Linked DNA regions of Oryctolagus cuniculus. The main gene of each other region encodes a partner of the protein of the gene in region 3 in a complex. Links are inferred from orthologs where the notes say so. Each region holds a gene or a part of one and is shown on either strand. Other genes may lie near its edges.

Region 1 (6,003 bases), on a different chromosome or scaffold from region 3:
AAAAAAAAAAAAAAAAAAAAAAACCTGCAAGGATTTTAAAATGTTTTTGCACCAAAATAAACTGATCATTTAATTCTAATTTTCCACAGACATTTTCAAGTACTCACATGAATATATTCTATATTATGGCTGTATACATATTTATTTTTTAAAGATTATTTATTTAATTTTTTTTATTTGGAAGGCAGAGTGACAGGGGGAGATAAGAGAAAGGGATCTTCTGTTCTCTGGTTCACTACCCAAATGCCTGGAAAACCAGGTCTGGGTCAGTCTGAAGCCAAAAAAACCAAGAACCCTATCTGGGACTACCAAGTAGGGTGTCAGGAATACAAACATTTAGGTCATAATTTGCCAGCTACCAGATGTGTTAGCAGGATGCTGAATCCGAAGCAGAGTTGGGACTCAAACCTGTGTACTCCAACAAGGGATAAAATTGTACAAAGTGGTAGCTTAACCTGCTGCACACCAGTGTCTGCTTCAGGCTATTTGGAGACTAGCATTTCTTATAGTTCTCCACTAGAACAAAACAAAAACCATTTTGACACTTGGGAATTTAGTGTCTCAAGAAAATTGTTTAATGCTGGTTGGTTATTTGAAGTATGGATTAAATGAAGCATTTCTTTTCGTTTATTTTTTATTTTTAGTGTTTACGCAAGTGGGGTTACAGAAGATGTGAAGATATTTGTTGGATTAAAACCAATAAAAACAATCCTGGCAAGACAAAGACTTTAGACCCAAAGGCTGTTTTTCAGAGAACAAAGGTATTGCCTTTTCTGTTTTGTTTTGTTTTTCTCATTATTTTCTTTCATACTTTTCCAAATTTCTGTATACTGTTCAGTTACTTTTGCTGGAAAAAAAGTCATTTTCTTCGGCTTGTAAAAGTAGCCTTGAGCAGTATAAGAATATATCCAAGTTGGTTTAAAATGTTTTATTCACTATCTTAGATCAGTCTCCACCACCATGCTGGAGAGGGAAATATATATGTTCCTGTATGTCTTACACTGCTGTATTTATGCATTACATGCGGGCTTTTAATGCTCCTCATACCCTGAATTTTTTTTTGTTTTGCTAGGTTCAGAAAGAAGAGATATCAGCAAAAGTTCATAGCTGGCCAGTTTACACTTGTTTCTTCTTCTGTTCTTTTTCCTACTGAAGAACTTCTGAGAACTTCTGCTTCATGTTGATTCTGCTTTGCTAGTATCAGTCTTTAACCGCCTTTGCTCTTTACTCTTTAGGGAGCCAGTGGTGGGATTTCTTACTTGTTCTTACTTGGGGTTGGAATTATAGCTATGTAACAAAGTTTCCAAAAGAACAGGGTTTGGAGAGCTTCTGGGTTGGTGAACCTATAGAGTTGCTGGGGGAACATGGTGCACCCAGAGAGAGGGCCTGGAAGCTCCACATCCCTTCTCCTGTACATTGCCCTAAGCATCTCTTCCATCTGGCTGTTCCTGAGTTACATCCTTATACAATAAACAGGTAATAGTAATTAAAGCACTTACTGAATTTCACAAGCCACTCCAGCAAGTGATTGAACCCGAGGAGGGGGTCTTTAGACACTCCAATCTGTAGCCTCTCAGTTATAAAAGCACACTGACAAGTCGTGATTGGTATCTGAAGTTGGGGGTCAGTCTTGTGGGACTAAGTCCTTAACCTGTGAGGTACACACTAGGTATAGATTGTGTCAGAATTGAACTGAATTATAGTGTCTGAGGAGAAGTGTAGTTACTTGGTGCGTGAAAACCCACACATCTGGTGTCAAAGAGCTGTCTTCTGAAAGTACTAAATGTAGAGTGAAAAACTGCTTTTCCTGTTTGCCTGACAGTCTTTCTACAACCATCCAGATGTTTCTAAAGTCTGTCCTCTTTTTGCCCACAGAACTATATCCCAAAGATTTGTAGAAATAAGGATTGTTTTGGAACTGAGGAAATCAGAAGTATAAATAAAATGTTATGAGGTAAGATTATTGATAAGAAAAAAAATTAATTGGTCTGTTCTTCTTATTTAGGAACACTGTCTTATGGGGATCAAAGGAACTGTGAAGCGTAGCACAGATGGGGACTTTATTCACGCTAATGTTGACATTGACTTAATTATCACAGAAGAACCTGAAATTGGCAATATAGAAAAACCTGTAGAAATTTTTCATATAATTGAGCATTTCTGTCTTGGTAGAAGACGCCTTCATCTGTTTGGAAGAGATAGTACAATTCGACCAGGTATGACCTCAATTTCAACAACAAAAACAACTTTGATTCTTTGAGATATGGTTATAAAGGAATCAGACACAGGGTGGTATAAAGTAAAATTCTTATGTATTTGAGTCATCTTCTTGCTGGACTTCAAATGTGAATAATGTTTGGTTCATACAAAAATTGAGAGGAAGTTCCTGAGATTTCCCATAAACTCTGTGCCCTAGACTCTCATCATCTCTGTTACCATTGCCACCCCCACCACAGTGATACGTTTGTTACAACTGGTAAGTCTACATTGACGAGTCATCACCCTGGTCTGTAGTTTACATTAAGGTTCACTCTTGGTAGTCTGTGTTCTGGGGGATTAGACAAATGTGTGAGGACATGCATCCCCCATTGTTGGATCACACAGTATGGTTTCACTGCCCTAAAAATCCTGTGTGCTCCACTTATCCATTTGCCCACCCCTCAAATCCCTGGCAGTCTTTTTATTGTGATTCTGTCTTTTGTTCTTGTTCCTGTGTTGTTAAAATTGTCTATATAGTATGTGACCTTTTCAGATCAGCTTCTTTCATTTAGTAATAGGCATTTAAGGTTCTCCCCTGCCTTTCCATGGCTTGAGAGCTCACTTTTGAATCGTATCCTACTGTCTAGTTGTACCCACTTTATCCGTTTACTTACTGAAGGACACCTCGGTTGCTCTGAGGTTTTAGCAAGTAAGAATAAAACTGCCATAAATGCCCGTGTACAGGTTTTGGTGTGGATGTAAGTTTTCAGCTCCTTTAGGTAAAAACCAAAGAGAATGATGGCTGGATTATATGGTAAGAATATGTTTAATTTTGAAAGAAACTGCCAAATCCTATCTCCTAAAGTAGTTGCACCATTTTGTTCCACATTCTCACCAGCATTTGGTGTCAGTGAGGCAAATACACCCTGAAGCCTGGCTGTTTTAAGCTTGCTCAGTGCTTGGTAATACCTTTAGAACACAAGGTTACAGTGAAGAATTTTGGGGAGAAAGAAATCCCTTGGGCTTATATAACGAGTTTACTTTGCAAAGATTCACAAAGAGGTAGTGTGGCAGGAGAGAGGCAGTATTAGTTCTTTTTAAGTTTTCTGTTCTCTTGTTTGTGGTATTGCAGCACTACCATAGATATCCTGAAACAAAAAACTAAAAGGAAGCAAATAAAACTCTAACAGGGTTGAGCATTTGGCCTAGTGGTAAAGCTGCCAGTTGTGACGCCTACATCCCTTATAGGTGCCTTTGAGTTCCTGCTCTGCTCCTAATTCTAGCTTCCTGCTAATGTGCGCCCTGGGAGGAGGCAGATGATGGCTCAAGCAGGTGGAAGACCTGGATTGAGTTCCTGACTTCCAATTTAGCAACAGGCTTGGGAGGACATTTGGGAAGGAAACCAGCAAATGACAGCTCTCTATCTAGCATGTGCTCTTTCTGCCTCTCAAGTAAAGCGTGTAGATAAACTTTCTAAAATATCTCATAGTTTCTGTAGTCAGTGAGACAATATAGGTGAGGAATGTGCTTCTCGATCTAATGTGTCTTCTCTACTTCTCTGGTGTCTCCTGGGTGCCACATAAAAGGCACAGTGTGATTTTCCTGATATTCTTGCAGATATTATAAATCTTATTAAGTCATTCTTAGGTACTAAGTTATTTTTTAAACAATGGAAAAATATTTTACAAAAGTGGCTATAATATTTTAGAATATTTATAATATTCTATATCTGTAATTTTTAATAAAATATATTATAAAATTTTATGTATTTATAAAATATTTAAAAGATATTTTATAAAATATAATATTTTAGAATACGAGCTTAGAAAAATATTTTTCATTTTAGAGCATTTTATGGGAGGTCTTATTTTAAGAAATAATATTGGGGCCGGCGCTGTAGCGTAGTGGGTAAAGCCACCACCTGCAGTGCCGGCATCCCATATGAGCGCCAGTTCAAGTCCCAGCTGCTTCACTTCTGATCCAGCTCTCTGCTATGGCCTGGGAAAGCAGTAGAAGATGGCCCAAGTCTTTGGGCCCCTGTACCCATGTGGGAGACTGGGAAGAAGCTCCTGGCTTCTGTTCTGGCTCCTGGCTTCGGATTGGCACAGCTCTGGCTGTTTCAGACATCTGGGGAGTGAACCAGCGGATGGGAAGCCTGCCTCTCTCTCTCTCTTTCTCTTATCTCTCTCTCTCTCTCTATAACCTTGCCTTTCAAATAAATAATTTAAAAAAATCAAGATAATGGTACAGAGATATGAACCTAATTTTACAGATAAATAACATGATTCCTAAAAGATTATTTGTTCTGTCCCAGTGGATCTCATGTCTCTTATAACACTCATAAAGCATATTTCCAGGATTTTCCTAAAGGTCATGCTAGTTACAAGAATCACCACTCCAAAGGAACTCCCAGAGTATAGGCATTGGTAGTTATTTCTCAGCCCTTCTCCTTCCAGATATAATGTAATCAATTAGCAATGTAGCTTACAAATAAAAAAACCTTTTTACCTACAATGTCTAATGGAAATTCTGAAGAAAGAGATGTAATTTTATGTAAGCAATATATTTGAATTGGATGTTGCATGGTGAGGTTTTCGGCTGATTGACAAAATAATGTGAGCACAAAAGTGGTTTGTATGGAAGTAGTCATCGTAGTAGTTTATTGTTTGCTTAAAAAAAAGATGTTAGTTAAAAAATAGTTGATGAAAAGCATTGATGACAAAAGTGATTGGAAAGTTCATTATAAAAGATTTTTTGGCTTTATGAAAAGGATTAGAATATTTTTGAACAGAGAAGTGACACGTTTTAAGCTTTCATTTTTCAGTTTTAGAGAGGAGAAACCATAAGCTGAGAGATGATTACATATATGTGTATGTCTGTTCCATGTGTGTGGCATGGTGGAGAGCTGTCGTTGTAGAAACAAAGGCTTAAAGAAGAGTATGGGAGGAAAAATGGAAAAGTGGGAGTAAGTAGGAACAATATGGTGGTGATTGAATTTCTAGGACCTGTCAACTCAGAACATTTTGTGGTTGGAAAGAACAGAAGTTGGTTCAGGATTTTAATCAGATAACAATGGTACTATTTTTATGAATAGGAAAGTTGTAATTAATTTTTTTTAAAGATTTATTTATTTATTTGAAAGAGATACAGAGAGGCAGAGGTAGAAGCAGGATCATTTCCTAAATGGCTGTTACAGCCGGCGTTGGGCCAATCAGGAGCCAGGAGCCAGGAGCTTCTTCCAGGTCTCCCATGCAAGTGCAGAGGCCCAAGGATTTGGGCCATCTGCTGCTGCTTTCCCAGGCCATAGCAGAGAGCGGGAGCGGAAGTAGAGCTGCCGGAACTCAAACCAATGCTCATATGAGATGCTGGCATGGCGGGTGGCAGCTGTACCCACTATGCCACAGCACCATCCCCTAATTTATTACATTTTTCACTGAGCCCAAACTTAGTGTAATGTGTAACATTTTTTTCTAAGGGCTATTCACAGAATGTAGAGACATAGATGGAGACAATGAGGAAGATATATTGTAAAAATTACAGTCTACAGGGAGAATCAAGATTATAAATAGGAAGTTTTCAAAATATGACCCATGATAAAGTGCTGTTCATTCTTTAAGAGATCACTATTGGGTTGGTGATAGGAACATCTTTAAAAGAATGCATTGGGGATTTGAACTAGCCCCTAAAGAATCAATAAGAGAAGAGAGGGTTGCAAATAAAAAGGATAATATTTTTCTCCTCCATTTCAGGCTGGCTCACAGTTGGACCAACACTTACAAATAGCAACTACAATGCAGAGACCTA
Region 2 (6,003 bases), on a different chromosome or scaffold from region 3:
TTTTCATCACTCACAAAGGCAAAACCATTAAGAAACTTTTTAGTATCTGATGGGCAGTGTTAAACTGTTATCTGTCTACAGCAACTTTTTTTTTTCTTTCCTGTATTGTATCTTTTTATGTACCTGAAAAAAGGCAACACTTAATGCTTACCATGGAGTTGGTTCCGTGACTGATGCTCCTATTGGTCAAGGAACATGGGAATTTATTTCATGGGTAAAACGCAAGCAGAGACTTCAGGAAGTGACAAGTCATTTAATAAAAAACTGTCACTTGTTTAGACCTAGTTGAAGTCCAGAAAGCTTGCTCCCTCCTAAAATTATAATTTCCCATTCAATACTAAGAGTAACTCAGTCCCATATATATCCCTAGAAATGTTACAGCACAAATACATTTTAACATGTTTGTGTTACTCAGTGCTATAAGAATTTTTGCTGTGTTCTTGAATGCTTTCTACACTTCAGGAAATAATCACCTTCCTTGAAACTAGCTTCCATTTTTAGATTCATTACTTACTTTTGCTTTTGTCGCTGTTAGTTTTGTGTTTCCCTTTTAGTTTTCTAAAGTTCTTGAGTGCTTGCTTTGCATGCTTGAGATCAGTCAGAGAAGCAAGGTGGTTTTGATACTTTTCTCCTCTCAAATCTTTTTACTTCAAGACAGAGGTTCTTTCCTTGGGTTTATGGAGGGTTTGTGTTTCTGTGAACTCCTCTAGAATGAAAATTTTATTGTTCAGGTTATGTAACTTTTATTTTCAGGGGCTCCCTATATCAAAAAGGGTTAAAAAAAAAGCATAGCTTTATCCAAAATAGAGAAAATTAGTGGTTAATACAATGTGTAAAATCAGAACCCAGGTCTCTAAGCCTTGATAGTGTTTGGTACGTTGTATTGTGGCAGAAGAGTCTAAAAAGCTAAAGGAAATTATGACTTTTTTTTCCCTTAACAGACAATGAGTTACAAGGCACTAATAGTTCTGGATCGCTGGGTGGTCTTGATGTTCGAAGACGAATTCCTATAAAGCTCATTTCCAAACAAGCCAACAAAGCTAAACCTGCACCTCGAACTCAAAGGACTATAAACAGGATGCCTGCAAAGGCTGCACCTGGTGAGGAAGGTAATTTGTTTAAACTGCTAGGTCTAACAGCCCTTCTGGTTTATCTGATTGCACTAAAGGAGTCCCTGTGATTTTGTTGACTTAGTATAGCCACTTCTTTTTTTTTTTTTTTAATTTTTTTTTTAATTTTTTTGACAGGCAGAATGGACAGTGAGAGAGAGAGAGACAGAGAGAAAGGTCTTCCTTTGCCGTTGGTTCACCCTCCAATGGCCGCCGCGGCCGGCGGCCGGCGCACCGTGCTGATCCAATGGCAGGAGCCAGGAGCCAGGTGCTTTTCCTGGTCTCCCATGGGGTGCAGGGCCCAAGCACCTGGGCCATCCTCCACTGCACTCCCTGGCCACAGCAGAGGGCTGGCCTGGAAGAGGGGCGACCGGGACAGAATCCGGCGCCCCTACCGGGACTAGAACCCGGTGTGCCGGCGCCGCAAGGCGGAGGATTAGCCTAGTGAGCCGCAGCGCCGGCCGCCACTTCTTTTTTTAAACTTTACCTTCTGTACTCTTTCTTCAGCCTTTTTGTTGACTTCTGTTTTGGCATGTTTTGCTTTTTTCTCCCTGTATAAATACTTTTGATTTGTTTTCTTTTGTTGTTGGCAGTAACATTGTCCCCCCCCCCCCCAATCTAAACAGTATTGCAGAAAACATGACACTAAAAGTAAATGTCTTTCTCTTCTCACAATCCATTTCTTCAAAGATAATCCCTATTAAGACTTTTTTAGCTTCTAGCATTGCAAGTCCCCACTGCTCCACTTCCAATCCATCTCCCTGATGAGGCATCTGAGAAAACAGCGGAAGATGGCCCAGGTACTTGGGCTCCTGGTACCCATGTGGGAGACCAGGGTGGAGTTCTAGGCTCCCTAATGTGGCCATTTGGGAAGTGAATCAATGGGTGGAATCTCTATAACTTTGCCTTTCAAATAGATAAATAATTTAAAAAAGACTATTTATACAGAAATATTAATTTTTGTGTAAAAATGCCTTTTTAAAAAAAACATTTATTTTGTATAACTGTCTTTAAAATGTTTTGTATATAACTGCTTCTTAAAACCGTATGCATTTGAGATTTTGTGTTAGCATATACAGAGATAACTTCATTTGCAGGAATAGGTTTAGGTACTTCATTATGGCTAAACTACAATTTATTTAAAAATTTTTCTGGAGTTCTAAGAACGTTGGAGCAAATATCTTTGTGTAGAATTTGCACTTTGTACAAATTTGGACATTTATTTATTTATTTGAAAGGCAGAGTGTGGGAGTGAGAGGTAAATGTATTCTATCTGCTTATTCACTCCCCAGAAGTGTGCAGTAGCTAGGGCTGGGTCAGGCCAGAAGCTGGGACCTCCATCTGGGGTCTCCCAAGTGGTAGCAGAGACCCAAGTACTTGGGGCATCATCTGCCATTTTCCCAGATGCATTAACAGGAAGATATATCAGAAGCAGAGGAGCCAGAGACACAAACCTGTGTGGGTGACACAAGCAGCAGTTTAACCCCCTCCTGCATCACAGTGGCCACACCATAGACTTTTAAAAACTTTGTAATTATTCTTCAAAAAAGGTATATTTGTTTATACTTCTCCACACCAGTTTTGGGTACTATTAACCTTTAAACATTTTGATTTTGATTTACAATTCTCTAATCATGGTTGAGGTTGAGTATCTTTTCATAATATTGGTCTTTTGCTTAGGATCTTTCTGTTCATATCCTTTCCCCATTTTTCTGTTTGGCTGTTTCTCTTGATTTTTGAGTTCTTTTTAAATTAATGAAATTGACCCTTTTTAATATATTGTGTATATTCCCCATTTGCCTTTTGAATTTTGTCTATAAATTTTTTATTGTAGAGAGGTTAAACATTCTATGCAGTCAGATATCCAGTGTTTGTTGTTATGACTTCCTGGATTTATGACAGTTTTAGAAAGGCCTTCCCCTATTCTGTGCATATAAACTGGTTTTCCTCTCATCTGTCAGTACAAACTATGACCTGTGGGGCAAATCTGGTCCTGTTTTTATAAAGTTTTATTGCAAAACAGCCATGCCCATTCATTTCAGTATTGTCTGTGGCTGCTCTCATACAGTAGTGGTAGAGCTGAGTGTTTGTGGTTATGGACCATGTGGCTCACAGAGCTGAGAGGATTTATTGCCTGGCTTTTTACAGAAGAATTTGCTGACCTCTGCTTTGGATCTTTTAAGAATACGTATGTGGTTATTTAAAAAAGCCAAAAGTGGGATCTGGCTTTCTGTTTTTTCCTCCAAAACAGCTTGTCATTGTCCCAATCATTGAATAATCTTTTCCTTGCTGCATAGAAAACCCACCATTATTGTATATTAAAGTTCTAAAAGTATTAAAGTCTGTTTTCTGGTCTTTCAAAGTATTTTCATGAACTTATAGTGATGTACAAGTACATTCTTGTAATGCAGGAAAAGCTAAAAATTCTCCCTGCTACCTCTTTTCTCTAAGTTGTTTTCCTCCTCTTCTCAGGGTCATGGCTTTTTTTTAGAGGGAACTACTCTTACTCCTTTCTCTCTTAATAGAGCAACTTGAGGCTGAAGACAATCATTGAATACTTTAGACTTAACCTGTTTGGAGTAAAAGAAAATTATTTTTTTCCCTAGGGATTGATCAAAATATGGAGTTTTGGGTGTTAGTACATCTCTATGGATATTTAGTTTAATGAGAAGAATACAGGTTGAACTACTCTGAAAAATTATAATGTGCTCTTCATTTATTTGGCTGTTGATCTCCATAATTTTCTGCATTTGAAGAATTGACAATTTTTCTTACTTTGAATTGTGGATGACACCACCTTTGATAAGGAATGGGCCATATAAGACTGTAGGTACACTCAGGTGTAATTTATAAGATCAACTTTACTTTGAACTGTACATCTATATTGGAAGTAGTTAAATAGCAGTATATTGGAATATCTCTTATCAACTTCAAAAAATTCTTGCATCACTATTGTCTGTGTGTGTGTGTCTATCTACCTGCACAGGTACTGTAAGTTAGCCATGTGGGTAAAGTTGAAGCTGTGTGCTTTGGCTACTCTGTTTACCAGTTCTAGGGCCAAAAGAGTCGTGACAAGCCTGGCACCTTGGAGAGATATATTTGTCTTCTCAGCTTTACTTTAGGTAATTGGATTCTACCTAGAATTCTCATCAGACTGTTCACCGGTTTTCTGTTCTTTTGTGTAAAATGAGAAAATTGCCACCAACTTTTTAATGAGACCAGAGAAATTGAGCCAACTTGATCTTCAACTGGTCTTAAGTTTATTAATGTTGATATATGCAGTGTAGGACAGGATACTTGTAAATATCATATGGCTCCTGCTGATTGGGGATTAACCAGGAAGAAGTTTTAAAATGAAAGGGTGAAGAATGAATTTGTTGATGTTCCAAAATCATGCTCAGATTAGAGGTGAAGGGAAAGTATAATTTACTAAGTAATAAGAAAATCCGCAGAATTCTTTGTTTTCATTATTTTTACAATAAAATCAGTCTCTTGCAGCATACCATATTTGTAGATAGATTAGAATAAGTGATGGTCAATGTCATTAAAATTTTGTGCAACAAATGATGATAATGGTAATCTTGAGGTTTTAGACTAAAGATAGTCTGTTGAATTGATAGAAGCACTTGAATAGGTGTCAAGAGATCTGAGATCTGTTCCTGGTCCTGCTGCTGACCTTAATATGTTACATTATTGTGGATCTCCATACTGTAATAGTCTCAATTATGAAGTATTAGAGTTGGTCAGGTAATCACCAGTTTTACTTCTAGTTGATATTTTAAACTAGTCTTCATTATTTTGTTCTTAGAGGAGCTTTGAAAGTCATCAGGTGGGCTTTCCAGTGAATAGGCCTACTTTGTCCTGTGTGTATACTTCTCAAATGAAATTTGAGGTTTGAAGTTAATGAGTAACATTTTGTTTTCTCAGAAGGATTTGATTATAATGAAGAGGAACGGTATGACTGTAAAGGGGGTGAACTGTTTGGAAATCAGCGAAGGTTTCCTGGACACCTTTTTTGGGACTTTCAGGTACGATTAAAAACGAAAACTTTCATTAGACCAATAAAATTGGTATTAAGTACTTAAAATGTGGTATTAGAACAGTGTAGAATATATAAGGGGTATCTTTTACAAGCTTTTGTTAATGTTATGACTTTTAACACAAACATCATTTGTTTATAATGAGTGCCCTACTTTGACTATTCCCAAAAATAATTTGAAATCATTTTCAGTGAGGTCAAATGTGATTGATAACTCTTAACTATTTAAAAATGTAAACTAACGGTGGCACAGCTAATGCTGGTGAATATGTGGGGATTATACCAAGAAACCTTTATTTCTAGTTGTTTTTAACAACTTTTATAAAGTACCAACCATTTACTATTGATAGAGTGTTTAGCATTGTGTTATAGATGCAGTTTTTAGGATTAAGGGAATTTAATTATGTCATTTCAACAGATAAACATCTTAGGTGAAAAGGATGATACACCAGTTCACTTCTGTGACAAGTGTGGATTACCTATTAAAATCTATGGACGAATGGTAAGCATAATTAAATTAAATACTGTTTGTAAATGCGTGCATTTGTGTCCAGGTAGAATTCTGAAATGTATTAAGTAGATACAGTTAATCATTATCTAATGACTGAGTTTGTGACATTTTAATTTAAATAAATATGAACTAGCTAAGAGAAGTACTTGGTATGCGTGACACCAGTTTATATTTATTATACTTTTTTAAGGAAAGATTTTTTTTAAGATTTTATTTATTAATTTGAAAGAGAGGGAGAGACAGAAAAATCCTCATCTGCTGGTTCACTCCCCCAGTGACCAAAACAGCTGGAGCTGGAACAATCTGAAGCCAGGAGCCAGGAGCATCTTCTGGTTCTCCCACGT
Region 3 (6,003 bases):
TATTTTTTTAAAAAAGTAATTTTTATTCAGCCTTCATTGACATTTGATGAGTTATAGGACAAATGATGTGAGCTCCAAACAAAATTTGTGCCCATTTAAAAATATTAAATCCTGCATGTTGATTGGTGGTATACGTTTATGTTCTGAGTTTTGAAAAACCATACTGCTTATGAGCCATTTTAAAGCAGGGCTATATGCTGAGGATTTGAAACTACTGGTAGGTGGATAAATGGCTTTCTATTGTTAAGTGTTCTTTCATACGTGGCAATATGGGTGATTCGTTTTCATTAACTAAGATTTGTTTTGGGGGATAGATTTTGTAGTATTGAACTGTTTAGCACTCCAAAAATTCTTTTGTTATGTAGCTTACATTTTTAAAGCAGGAAATAGTCACTTTTTTGTGTGACGGTCTTGAATATAATAATTACTGTTTTCTTTACTTCATTCCTAGAAAGATAGTTTTGTATTATGTCAGTTCTTAGTAGTAGCAGGCATTTTATTGCCTTAAGTATCAAGCAGTGTGTTACCAGTGCCAGTGTATTTGCCATTGGATATTTTTGTTGGAAATTTTCGTGCCAGTAAATTGCATATGTGTGTTTGCCTATCTAATTTGTGAGTCTTTAAAACTTATTTCAGCTTTGAGCTGACTAAATCCTTCTTGCAATAATTAAATTTAAAACTAGCCATTTGTGCTGGTGTAGAACCAAAATGTTGAGGTGAAGTTTGCAGCAAGTGGCTTAAATAACTGAAAAAGTTAGGAAACATCTTTGCAAATTTCTCTGCTCTCAAATTTAACTTGTGTGTGACATTTACAGGGATGTTGTGGAGACGATAGTGGTCTCATGGAAGTAGATGGAGCTCATCCATCACGGACGATGAGTATTAATGCTGCAGAGTTAAAACAGCTTCTACAAAGCAAAGAAGAAAGTCCAGAAAATTTGTTCCTTGAACTAGAGAAGCTTGTTTTGGTAAAAAAGAAAAACAAAAATAAAAACAGAGCATTCCTGAGACGTATTTTTTTCCTCTCAGTTTGACTAGTACAACTTTTCATAGTGACCTTTTCAAATAGTGAACTGTTAGTTGAGTATCTATGCCGTTTTGAACTAATTCTTTGAATTAATAATTTGGAGTGAAGCCCTCTGTATTGTTGTGAATCTTAAGGAGTAAATGAAGGCATTACTTTCTGAATTGTCTATCTTTGGATGCAGGGTACCCCCTACTGCCATTGTTTAGAAATAAAATGATAAGTGCTTTTGGTTTTGTTTTATTTATTATATTTAATGTTAAGTCGATAATTTCTTAATGGTGCTCCAAATCTCTTTGAAGTGAAATAATACTGCCTTTTCTGATAAAGAGTGAGTAGATTAAGAGCTCAAGTGTTCATGGTTCACCTGCACCTTCTTATCCTGCTTTCTTTTGTGTCTAGGAACATTCAAAAGAGGATGACAATCTGGATTCTTTGTTGGACAATGTAGTGGGACTTAAGCAGATGCTGCAGTCATCAGGTGACCCTTTACCTCTCAGTGACCAGGATGTGGAACCAGTACTTTCAGCTCCAGAATCTCTACAGAATCTATTTAACAATAGGTAAGATAAGCAAGGTTTTGTGATTGAATAGATACTGTTTATATAATGGTTGAATTTTATAGAGGGTCAGCAAGCTTTCTGTCTTGCAAGTTGAAATCAGTGTGGTTCACTGCATTTCAGGCTGAAGAGACTGATACAGATCTAGATTTGGTATAAATTATTTTATTACAAAATATTTACCAAAAAGTTGTTAATATTTTTTGCTTGTGTGTTGTTAGCAGCATCATAGTAGTTTACATATTATATGTGACTGTTGAATTCCACTTGGGGACCGGTAGTACTGCATTATTCTTATGTCAGCTGCCCACTTAATAGCATCCAGAACTATCAGTCTTTTTTTTTTTTTTTATGGTTTTTTTTTTTTTTTTTTTTTTTTTTTTGACAGGCAGAGTGGACAGTGAGAGAGAGAGAGACAGAGAGAAAGGTCTTCCTTTGCCGTTGGTTCACCCTCCAATGGCCGCCGCGGCTGGCGCGCTGCGGCCAGCGCACCGTGCTGATCCGATGGCAGGAGCCAGGTACTTATCCTGGTCTCCCATGGGGTGCAGGGCCCAAGGACTTGGGCCATCCTCCACTGCACTCCCGGGCCACAGCAGAGAGCTGGCCTGGAAGAGGGGCAACTGGGACAGAATCCGGTGCCCCGACTGGGACTAGAACCCGGTGTGCCAGCGCCGCAAGGCGGAGGATTAGCCTAGTGAGCCGCGGCACCGGCCCAGAACTATCAGTTTTTATACAAATTCTAGGCTTTATAGGCCATGCAGTCCTTTGCTGCATATTCTTCTGTAGATTCTTTCTTTTCTTTTCTTTTTTTTTTTTTAAGAAAAATCCTAAAAGCATACAAACTCTGCATAGTTTATAGGCAGACAGGATAGGCAATGGTTTATTAATCCCTGGCCTAAAGAATATACTTCTTAATCTGTGGAGCTCTATACTCATAAGGATCATTTGATGTAATAGAATTACTCTCTAAATTTAGAAAAATTAAGTATGAGCAGATTCTGCACAATTGGTATAATGCAATAAGCTTGCCTTTTTGGAATTAAAATTAGTGTTGCTGAAGGTCAAAGTTTGTTATAGTAAGACTAGTTTCTCAGTTATTGGTTTTGGAAGGTACTTAGTTCTTGAATAGTTCCATATATATATTTATTTATTTATATTTATATTTTATTTGAATGGCTTTTTTTTAACTTTTATTTAATAAATATAAATTTCCAAAGTACAGTTTATGAATTACAATGGCTTCCCCCCCCCATAAGTTCTTTTTTTTTATTTAATAAATGTGAATTTACAAAGTGCAACTTTTGTATTGTTGTGGCTCCCCCCCAGCCTCCCTCCCTCCCGCTTGAATGGCTTTTTGAAGAAGTCTTTTCAAGTGGTAATTTTGGTAAAACTTCTGCGGATAATATTTTTAATTGTACCATCCATAGATTTTCCTTAGAAGGTAAGCCAAAGTGTTTGATTTTGGTATTTTGCTTTTTACAAATGCTTTTTGTGTTCTAGGACTGCATATGTGCTAGCTGATGTCATGGATGATCAGTTGAAATCAATGTGGTTCACTCCATTTCAGGCTGAAGAGATTGATACAGATCTAGACTTGGTATAAATTATTTTATTACTAAATAGTTAAAAAAGTTGTTAATATTTTTGTTTGTATATTGTTAGCATTATAATTGTTTATGTACTATATGTAAGTATTTGAAGTCCACTTGGGGACCAGTAGTACTACATTATTTTTAGGCCAGTTTCCCACTTAATAGCATCCAAAACTAACACTTTTTTATACTTGTTATACTTCTGTTTAGTTAGTGATTTTGTATGTGTTTATTTTATTTTATATTTAAAGATTTATTTATTTTTATTAAAGGTAGAGTTACAGAGAGAAAAAGATCTTCCATCCACTGGTTGACCCCCCAGTTGTCTACAATTGCTGGGGCTGGTTCAGGCTGAAGCCAGGAGCCTGACGCTCCATCTGAGTCTTCCCACATTGATAGTAGGGGCCCTAACACTTGGGGTATTCTTCACTGCCCTTCCCAAGTACCTTAACAGGGAGCTGGGTTAGAAATGGAACAACCAAGGCAATTCGAGTCCTGGCTGTTCCACTTCTGATCAGGCTCTCTGCTATGGCCTAGGAAAGCAGTGGAACAAAGCCTAAGTGCTTGGGCTTCTGCACCCGTGTGGGAGACCCAGAGGGAGCTCCTGGCTCCTGGCTTCAGATCGGCGCAGCTCCGGTCGCTGTGGCCATTTGGAAAGTGAGCCAGTGAGTGGAAAACCTCTCTCTGTCTCTCTATGTCTGTAACTCTGCCTCTCAGATAAATAAATCTTAAAAAAAAATTAAAAAAAGTTAGTGTTCATCATGTACAATAAAACTGATAGAATGATTTGTTTCACATTTAAGGTGCATTTATTTTAATTTTTTTTTAAGATTTATTTATTTATTGGAAAGGCAGAGTTACAGAGAAGGAAAGGCAGATGCAGATGGCTGCAATGGCCAGGGCTGGTCCAAACCAAAGCCAGGAGCCAGGGGTCCATCCAGGTCTCCCATATGGGTGCAAGGGCCAAGTGCTGGGCCATCTTCCACTGCTTTCCCAGGTGCATTAGCAGGGAACTAGATTCGAAGTGGAGCAATCAGGACTCGAACTGGCACCCATGTGGGATGTCAGCATCACAGATCACAGATGGCGGCGTTACCCACTAAGCTTCAGTGCCAGCCCCAAGAATATGAATTTCCATGATCAGATGTTACACTGGTAGTTAATTTAAGATGTCTTTTGTTTCATTTTTATGACTACAGGTAAAGGTTGACTTAATCGAGCTCTCTGAAAAATGCTGTAGTGACTTTGATTTGCACTCAGAATTAGAGCGCTCATTTTTGTCAGAACCGTCATCTCCAGGGAGAACCAAGACTACTAAAGGATTCAAACTTGGGAAGCACAAGCATGAGACCTTTATAACTTCAAGGTAAAAATTTATTCCACTGAAGGTCTTGATTATGATCACATAAAGCTTTATTTCATTGTATTTAAGATGGAATCATTTGCATAACATTTGAATCATTAATATTGTTTGTATTAGTTTTAAAGATAATAATTTGGCCAGGACTTAGCCAGTACATTAGTAATATTGTTCTTTGTGAGCACTTAAAAGGTATGAATAAGAAGTAAACTGGATTATTGTAAAACTTTTAGTGATATCAATAAAATATGAGTACCATTCTTAGCTAGTGTGTTGTATTATGCTGGGAAGTATGCTGGGAAGTAATATATATACTTGCAAAATTAATGGAATTAGAATAAGAAAAAATTGAAATCCAGATTCACTATTTATTGTATTTTCACTGGAAATATGAAGAAACGGAAATTTTCTAATGGAGTATTTTTGTTTTAATAGTGGAAAATCTGAATACATAGAACCTGCCAAACGAGCTCATGTTGTGCCACCACCAAGAGGAAGGGGCAGGGGAGGATTTGGACAGGGTATACGACCCCATGATATTTTTCGTCAGAGGAAACAGAACACAAGCAGACCACCATCTATGCACGTGGATGACTTTGTCGCAGCTGAAAGTAAAGAAGTGGTCCCTCAAGATGGAATACCCCCACCCAAACGGCCACTTAAAGTTTCCCAGAAGATTTCTTCTCGTGGTGGGTTTTCAGGCAATCGAGGAGGACGTGGTGCTTTTCACAGTCAGAATCGATTTTTCACACCACCTGCTTCAAAAGGTAACTGCATTTCTAATAGGCTAGCATATTAAAATATTGAGTGAAGTGACTGAGGAGATTGAGATAAAGTATTTGCACTATTTGCAGAGTACTCTGGTGGGTAGGAAAAAAAAAACCACACATACTTTTTGGGTTAACTTCTGATAAGGTATACTTTTACTGGGAATTTAAAAGATGTCACAGGTAATTATTTTCCTTTTAACATTGAGAATTTTATTATTTTTTATGTAAATACCATTTTCACATTTGTACTTCTCAACAATTTCCTTAAGATTATTTGTGTAGTTCATAATTGATTCCTTTATCACCTTGCTTCTTACTGTTATATTCAGTCTGTTTTAAGTTGTTTGAAGATTTTGAGACTATTTGATATAGTTAAAGAAACTATGCTTTTACTAGTGGATTGATGAGCTCGAAAGGTGACAGTGAAAGAGAATATGAATTTGGCATTAATAACAAACGCTTACATAGGTGTGTCGGGAAGTGTTACAAGTAATGCAGATATGGTACGCTCACATTAACCCCACAAGGTAGGTCGCATTAGTACTCCTTCTTTACTGAAGATAAACTGTGATTCAGCTGACCAGGACACAAAACTGGAAGTGACAGGACCGATATTTGAACCTGGCAGTCTGCTTTAGAGCCTCTGCTGTTAACCGCTGTGTGATTTTTGCTTCTTAGTAGTATATTCAGTTTACAA
Region 4 (6,003 bases), on a different chromosome or scaffold from region 3:
TTGTACTCTCTAAGGAGGTTTGCAAGTGTGTATTTTGTATCCTTTTAAAACCAGAAGAAGAAAAAAAGATTCCGTAAAAAGAAAGTTAGTCCTAAAGTGCAATTTTCATGGAAGAGCTTATGTTCAAGGCAAATTTCTTCTGTAATTATATATGTAATAAAATAGTATTTGATGCTCTTTTTATTTTTTTGGATAGGTTTTTTTTTTTTAAGATTTTTTTTAATTTGGAAGGCAGTTATAGAGAGAGATGGAGAGAGGAGCAGGGGTAAATGAGTGGGATCTTCCATCTGCTGGCTCACTCCTCAAACGGCCACAATGGCTAAGGCTGGACCAGGTCAAAGCCAAGAGCCTGAAATTACATTCAAGTCTCCCACATGGGTAGTAGTGGCCCAAGCACTTGGGCCATCTTCTGCTGTTTTCCCAGGTGCATTAGCAGGGAGCTAGATTGGAAGTGGAGCAGGCAGGACTTGAAACTGGCACACCTATCTGATGCTGGCGATGTAAGCAGTGACTTGACCTGGTACGCCACGCTGCCCCTGACTTCAGTGATTCTCAACCTGAACTTTACTTCTTGGTCATAGTGCATAATCAATGCCTAAATCCTGTTTCCCAAGTCTACTTTTCTTATATCTTAAACAAATTTAAAATGACTATCACAATTCTTAATTTTGTTTAAGACTAATAATATAACTGAATGGTGAAGGTCCTTCACAGAGGAAATATTGCCTTTAATATGAAATAATTTTCACCATTGTTGCTAACTTTGATAAAGTGTAGACTTTATGCAGTATTCACTTGAATCATTGGTAACATCTTCTATTTTAGGAAAACTTAATGTGTGCTTATGTTTGTTGAAAGATGCAGATAATCTCTTTGAACATGAATTGGGGGCTCTCAACATGGCTGCATTGTTACGAAAAGAAGAAAGAGCAAGTCTCCTTAGTAATCTCGGACCGTGCTGTAAAGCTCTGTGCTTCAGGCGAGACTCTGCCATCCGCAAGCAGCTGGTTAAAAATGAGAAGGTACAGTGATTTCCTTGGAAAACATGTGAAGTGAATAATGTGAATGGCATATTTTCCATTTGATTGCTTTAAAGAATCACAGCCTTACCTGTTTTTATGAGTTTGGTTTACTAGTCTTATACACATGTGAAAAAAAGAGTTCTGTTAAAGTTTGTGATATTTTTATCTTATTTCAATCATATTAATGAATAATTGTTTTAGATAACAGTTACTTGTTAGAAAAAGTCATGCACTTAAAAATGTGTAAAATATTCTATTTCTATGAAATTAATTTGTGAAAAGCTTCTGTAGATAAGTAAACGTTATTAGAAATTTATTTAAGTTGAATATAAAAAGAAACATTTTCTGGAGTTGTGAGGGTAGTGGAGTGTTTTTTTTTTTTTTTTTTTTTTTTTTTTTTTTTTTTTTTTTTTTTTTTTGACAGGCAGAGTGGACATTGAGAGAGAGAGACAGAGAGAAAGGTCTTCCTTTGCCGTTGGTTCACCCTCCAATGGCTGCCGCGGCCGGCGCACCACGCTGATCCGATGGCAGGAGCCAGGTACTTATCCTGGTCTCCCATGGGGTGCAGGGCCCACGCACTTGGGCCATCCTCCACTGCACTCCTTGGCCACAGCAGAGAGCTGGCCTGGAAGAGGGGCAACTGGGACAGAATCCAGCGCCCCGACCAGGACTAGAACCCGGTGTGCCGGCGCCGCAGGCGGAGGATTAGCCTAGTGAGCCACGGCGCCAGGCGATAGTGGAGTTTTTTGAGGGATTTGTTTATTTATTTTTAAAGGCAGAGTTACAGAGAGGGAGATCGTCTATCTGCTGGTTTACTCCACAGATAGCCACAATAGCCAGCGCTGGGCCAGACTGAAGCCAGGAGTTGGGAGCTTCATCTAGGTCTCCTTCTGGCGTGGCAGGGGCCCAAACACTTAGGCTATCATCTGCTGCTTTTCCCAGGCATTTTAGCAGGGAACTGAATCGAAAGTAGAGCAACCAGGACATGAACTGGAGAATGAACCAGCAGGTGGAAGATCTCTTTCTCTCTGTCCTTCTCTCTGTGTCACTCTGCCTCTCAAAAAATAAATTAATCATTATAAAAAAAAAAAAAAAGAAAAAAGAAAACTGATCCTAAAAGGTTAGAAAAACATTAACCTACTAGCTTTTTACTAGAGGCCATTAAGAAAACAGAATTGTCTTTGGATATATAACAATGCTGAAGTAACTGATACTTCATTTATGAAAACTACTCAGATGCAGAGGATTAAATTTATACAAACAAGAAGAATTCATCTCCAAAGATTAAAATGGAAATGGCTATGAGGCATGGGAGACTTATAAAAATATCAAGTCTTAGGTTTATAACCACCAAATCTACCTTGCTCAAAATTACTGATGACAAAATTGCTAAGGTCATCCTCCTTTGCTTCTCTCATTTCATTTGTATTTCTCCTTATTCTGTTGCCTACATACTCATCTCTCCTTACATCCTTTCTCACCTAGACATTTCTCTGAGAGAACTAAGCTCCCAGTATCCTAAACATGTATATAATGAATCACCTTCTCTTTTATGTATCTAGAATCGTTCCAGATATCACCATCCTGACTATTAAATTGAAAAATATTCATTCAAATCATTTTCTGTTTGGTTCATATAAGGAATCTCAGTTGAAAAGGACTGTATAATTTCTAATCTCATAAAAATTCTAACCTCCTTTTTAACAGTAATAGATTATAAAATACCCTGATTCTTCCTCTATTGTACCATGGTGCCCCTTTAAAATTGTGGCAAACAAAAGCACCTTGAAAATTTCTCATTGAGCACCATTGTTCAGAACCTTATAATCCTCCAGTGTAAGTCATAGACCATTAACATTCAGTAAGTTTTAATAGCACATTGTAATGTCTTAAACAATCCATCTGAAGAAAGTACCATAAGCTTTCTGATTATTCTGTTAAAAACATCAGCACAAAAGAGGAAAAAGACACAATTAGGCTGGCGCTGTGGCTCACTTGGTTAATCCTCTGCCTGCGGTGCAGGCACCCCGGGTTCTAGTCCCGGTTGGGGCGCCGGGTACTAGTCCTGGTTGCTCCTCTTTCAGTCCAGCTCTTTGCTGTGGCCCGGGAGGGCAGTGGAGGATGGCCCAAGTGCTTGGGCCCTGCACCCACATGAGAGACCAGGAGAAAGCACCCAGCTCTTAGCTTCGGATAGGTATAGCACTGGCCGTAGCGGCCTTTAGGGGAATGAACCAACAGAAGGAAGACCTTTCTCTCTGTCTGTCTCTCACTGTCTATAACTCTGTCAAAAATAAATAAATAAATAAATAAATAAATAAATAAATAAAGAGAGGACACACACACACTACATAGGAAATCCTCTGAGAAATGCTCTTAGAGGCTACGCATTAAAAAAAAGGATACAATTAAAGAAGAGTAATTTCAGATGCTAGACAGCCTCATGAAATATCCTAGGAAAACCAAATAGAAGCATTTAAGTTATATATGGTTATAAAAGAAAAGTCCAAAAAGGGGTCATGCATTGGGCTAACTGGTAGATTTTTTTTTAAGAGGTTTTTATTTTATTATTTATTTGAGAGGTAGTTACAGACAGTGAGAGAGAGACAAAGAGAAAGGTCTTCCATCCACTGGTTCACTGCTGGAGCTTGACCGATTGGATGCCAGGAGCCAGGAGCTTCCTCCAGGTCTCCCACGCAGGTGCTGGGGCCTAAGCACTTGGGCCCTCCTCTACTGGTTTCCCAGGCCATAGCCGAGAGCTGGATTGGAAGAGGAGCAGCCAGGGCTCAAATCTGTGCCAGATGGGATGCTGGTGCATAGATGGAGGATTAATCTGCACCACAGCACCAGCCCCCTAGACTCTTAGCAAGTGACAAAAAATGGAAAATCATTCAACCTACCCATTGAGATTGTGTCTGTTTAGGAGAATGATTTTTAAATATAGAAACTATAGTCCATATCACAAGAAATAGGTGAAGGATATTAAGAGAACACTTAAAAGCTTTAAATGTGCAAACTAAAAGAAGGCAATTATAAAGAGCAGAAATCAATGAAATTAAAAATAGGGAAACATTAGAGAAAAGTAGTGTCACCAACTGCTGGTTCCTTGAAGAGATAAATAAAATTGAGAACTCCCTAATCAGACTAACCAAAAAAAAAAAAAAAAAAAAACCACAAATTGTGGGAATATCATTACAGATCTCACAAGTAATAAAAAAGAAAATAAGGGGATATGAATAACTTAATAAACATGAATTTGGCTGGCAAGTTAGAAGAAATAGATAAATTCTTCTAAAACCACAGACTACCAAAACTTAATGAGTAAGTAATGAGCAACCTGAAGAGTCATCTCTATTTTTTAAATATAAAACTGTAGTCCCAGGTGATTGCACTGCCAAGATCTACCAAAAAAACATTTAAAGAAAAAATAACACCAATTCTCTGCTATTTCTTCCAGAAAATTAAAGTGGCAGAATCATTTCCCAACTTATTTTATGAGGCCAGAATTGCAAACACCTGACTAGATTTAAACTGGTATCTCTCATGAAACTAGGCATAAAAATGCTCAAAAATGTTAATAAATCAAGTTCAGTGATACATTTTTAGCCTAGGATTAAAGGAATGCCTCAGTATGCTAGAATTATAATCAACCATATTAACAGAAGTAAGAAAGACAAATATATTGATCATATCAATTGATGGAAAAAGCATTTGAGAAAATTCAACGTTCCTTTGTAATAACTCTTAGCAAGCTAGAATTAGAAGAGGTCTTTACAAAGGACATGTACATAAGACCCTCAGCTAACATCTTAGGTAATAATGAAAGTTTGAATGTTTTGTCCCTGAAGTTGGGAACAAGAAAGGATGTCCAGTCTCACTGCCCCTATTCAGCCTCATACTGGAACTTCTAGCCAGTTTGATTAGGCAAGAGAAAGGAATTGCATATATATAGATTGGAATGGAAGAAATAAAACTGTGTGTCTTCTCAGGTGACATGATTGCCTGCATAAAAGGTTTTAAGGAATTTGCCAAAAAATTCCTAGATCTAGTAAGAGTTTAGCAAAGTTACAAAATACAAGGTCAGCCTATAAAAAAAGTAGTTGTATGTTTGTATACCAGCGGTGAGCATCTGGATACTAAAATGTTAGGAAGCAATACTCCAGCTTCCCCACAAATGAAGTACTTAGGTATTAAAGAAACAAGAAAAAGAATCTTGCAAGATCTAGTTGTTGGATACTCAAAACAGTGATGAAAAAAACCAAGGACCTAAATAACTGAAGATTGAGACATCATATTCATGGAGTTGGAGACTCAATATAGTTAAAATTATGCTTCTCCCTCACATAAATCTGCAGAGTTAACACAATTTTTAGTAAAAAACTAAAGAGGATTTTTTTTCTATAGACAAGCTGAATCTAAAATTTGTGTGAGGTCTAAAGGAACTAGCAAAGCCAAAATAATTTTTACAAAAGAAGAATAAAGTTGGAAGATTTGTACTACTCAGTATCAAGACTTACTGCAAAACTATAGTATGTAAGATAGTACAGTGTTAGTAAAGGAGTAGAAATTCAGATGAGTGGAACAGAAAAGGGTCCAGAAGTAGACCCACACAGATACGATCTGTCAACTCAAGGGGTTGGTGTGGGGAGCTATACAAATTGTTTCTTTTAATTAAGTTTTCATTTTGAGATAATTGTTCTTTGTCAAAATTTAAAACATATTCTCTAAAGTATACTGGTAAGGGAATGAAAATACAGGCATAGTAGAAATATTTGAAATTCACATTTTTTTTTAAATTTACTGATTCATTTGTAAGGCAGAGTGACAGAGAGGGAGAGGCAGAGAGCAAGACAGATATGGTTTTTCTACTGGTTCACTCCCCAAACGCCCGTTGCATCCAGGACTGGGCCAAGCCAAAGCCAGGAGACAGGGAACTCCATTCAGGTCTCCCACATGGGTGCAGAAACTCAAATACTTGGGCTTT

What was found. Proteins that work in one complex are often made in the same cells at the same time.
Region 1: VIRMA (region 3) and METTL14 share a complex: the UniProt entries of both Homo sapiens proteins name them as parts of the WMM complex. The link is inferred for Oryctolagus cuniculus from reciprocal best matches to the Homo sapiens genes VIRMA and METTL14.
Region 2: VIRMA (region 3) and CBLL1 share a complex: the UniProt entries of both Homo sapiens proteins name them as parts of the WMM complex. The link is inferred for Oryctolagus cuniculus from reciprocal best matches to the Homo sapiens genes VIRMA and CBLL1.
Region 4: the proteins of VIRMA (region 3) and ZC3H13 are in contact, whole or in part, in a cryo-EM structure (PDB 7VF2), measured with the Homo sapiens proteins. The link is inferred for Oryctolagus cuniculus from reciprocal best matches to the Homo sapiens genes VIRMA and ZC3H13. Residues at the interface, in NP_056311.2 of Homo sapiens: Leu521, Ser529, Tyr531, Gln532, Leu535, Glu536, Ile538, Leu539, Leu540, Asp541, Val544, Val547, Thr548, Ser551, Leu554, Gln555, His558, Glu561, Val562, Ser564, Glu565, Lys567, Gly570, Asp571, Ala574, Glu575, Thr577, Ser578, Glu621, Glu625; in NP_001317494.1 of Homo sapiens: Pro1492, Leu1493, Asp1494, Val1495, Ile1496, Asp1497, Val1498, Asp1499, Trp1500, Ser1501, Gly1502, His1507, Leu1518, Lys1520, Phe1521, Pro1523, Val1526, Met1527, Arg1529, Val1530, Gly1531, Ile1532, Ser1533, Lys1535, Leu1536, Ala1537, Gly1538, Leu1541, Lys1544, Val1545.

Annotation. Positions count from the first base shown.
Region 1 is NC_091439.1:46,487,404-46,493,406, reverse strand, and holds part of METTL14 (N6-adenosine-methyltransferase non-catalytic subunit), read left to right. Parts: intron 1-644; coding exon 645-761; intron 762-2,005; coding exon 2,006-2,216; intron 2,217-5,948; coding exon 5,949-6,003. UniProt on the Homo sapiens protein: The METTL3-METTL14 heterodimer forms a N6-methyltransferase complex that methylates adenosine residues at the N(6) position of some mRNAs and regulates the circadian clock, differentiation of embryonic stem cells and cortical neurogenesis.
Region 2 is NC_091434.1:136,460,170-136,466,172, reverse strand, and holds part of CBLL1 (E3 ubiquitin-protein ligase Hakai), read left to right. Parts: intron 1-941; coding exon 942-1,109; intron 1,110-5,036; coding exon 5,037-5,137; intron 5,138-5,566; coding exon 5,567-5,650; intron 5,651-6,003. UniProt on the Homo sapiens protein: E3 ubiquitin-protein ligase that mediates ubiquitination of several tyrosine-phosphorylated Src substrates, including CDH1, CTTN and DOK1. Targets CDH1 for endocytosis and degradation.
Region 3 is NC_091437.1:119,894,074-119,900,076, reverse strand, and holds part of VIRMA (protein virilizer homolog), read left to right. Parts: intron 1-815; coding exon 816-968; intron 969-1,426; coding exon 1,427-1,587; intron 1,588-3,084; coding exon 3,085-3,181; intron 3,182-4,375; coding exon 4,376-4,542; intron 4,543-4,971; coding exon 4,972-5,303; intron 5,304-6,003. UniProt on the Homo sapiens protein: Associated component of the WMM complex, a complex that mediates N6-methyladenosine (m6A) methylation of RNAs, a modification that plays a role in the efficiency of mRNA splicing and RNA processing.
Region 4 is NC_091440.1:65,026,559-65,032,561, reverse strand, and holds part of ZC3H13 (zinc finger CCCH domain-containing protein 13), read left to right. Parts: intron 1-858; coding exon 859-1,022; intron 1,023-6,003. UniProt on the Homo sapiens protein: Associated component of the WMM complex, a complex that mediates N6-methyladenosine (m6A) methylation of RNAs, a modification that plays a role in the efficiency of mRNA splicing and RNA processing.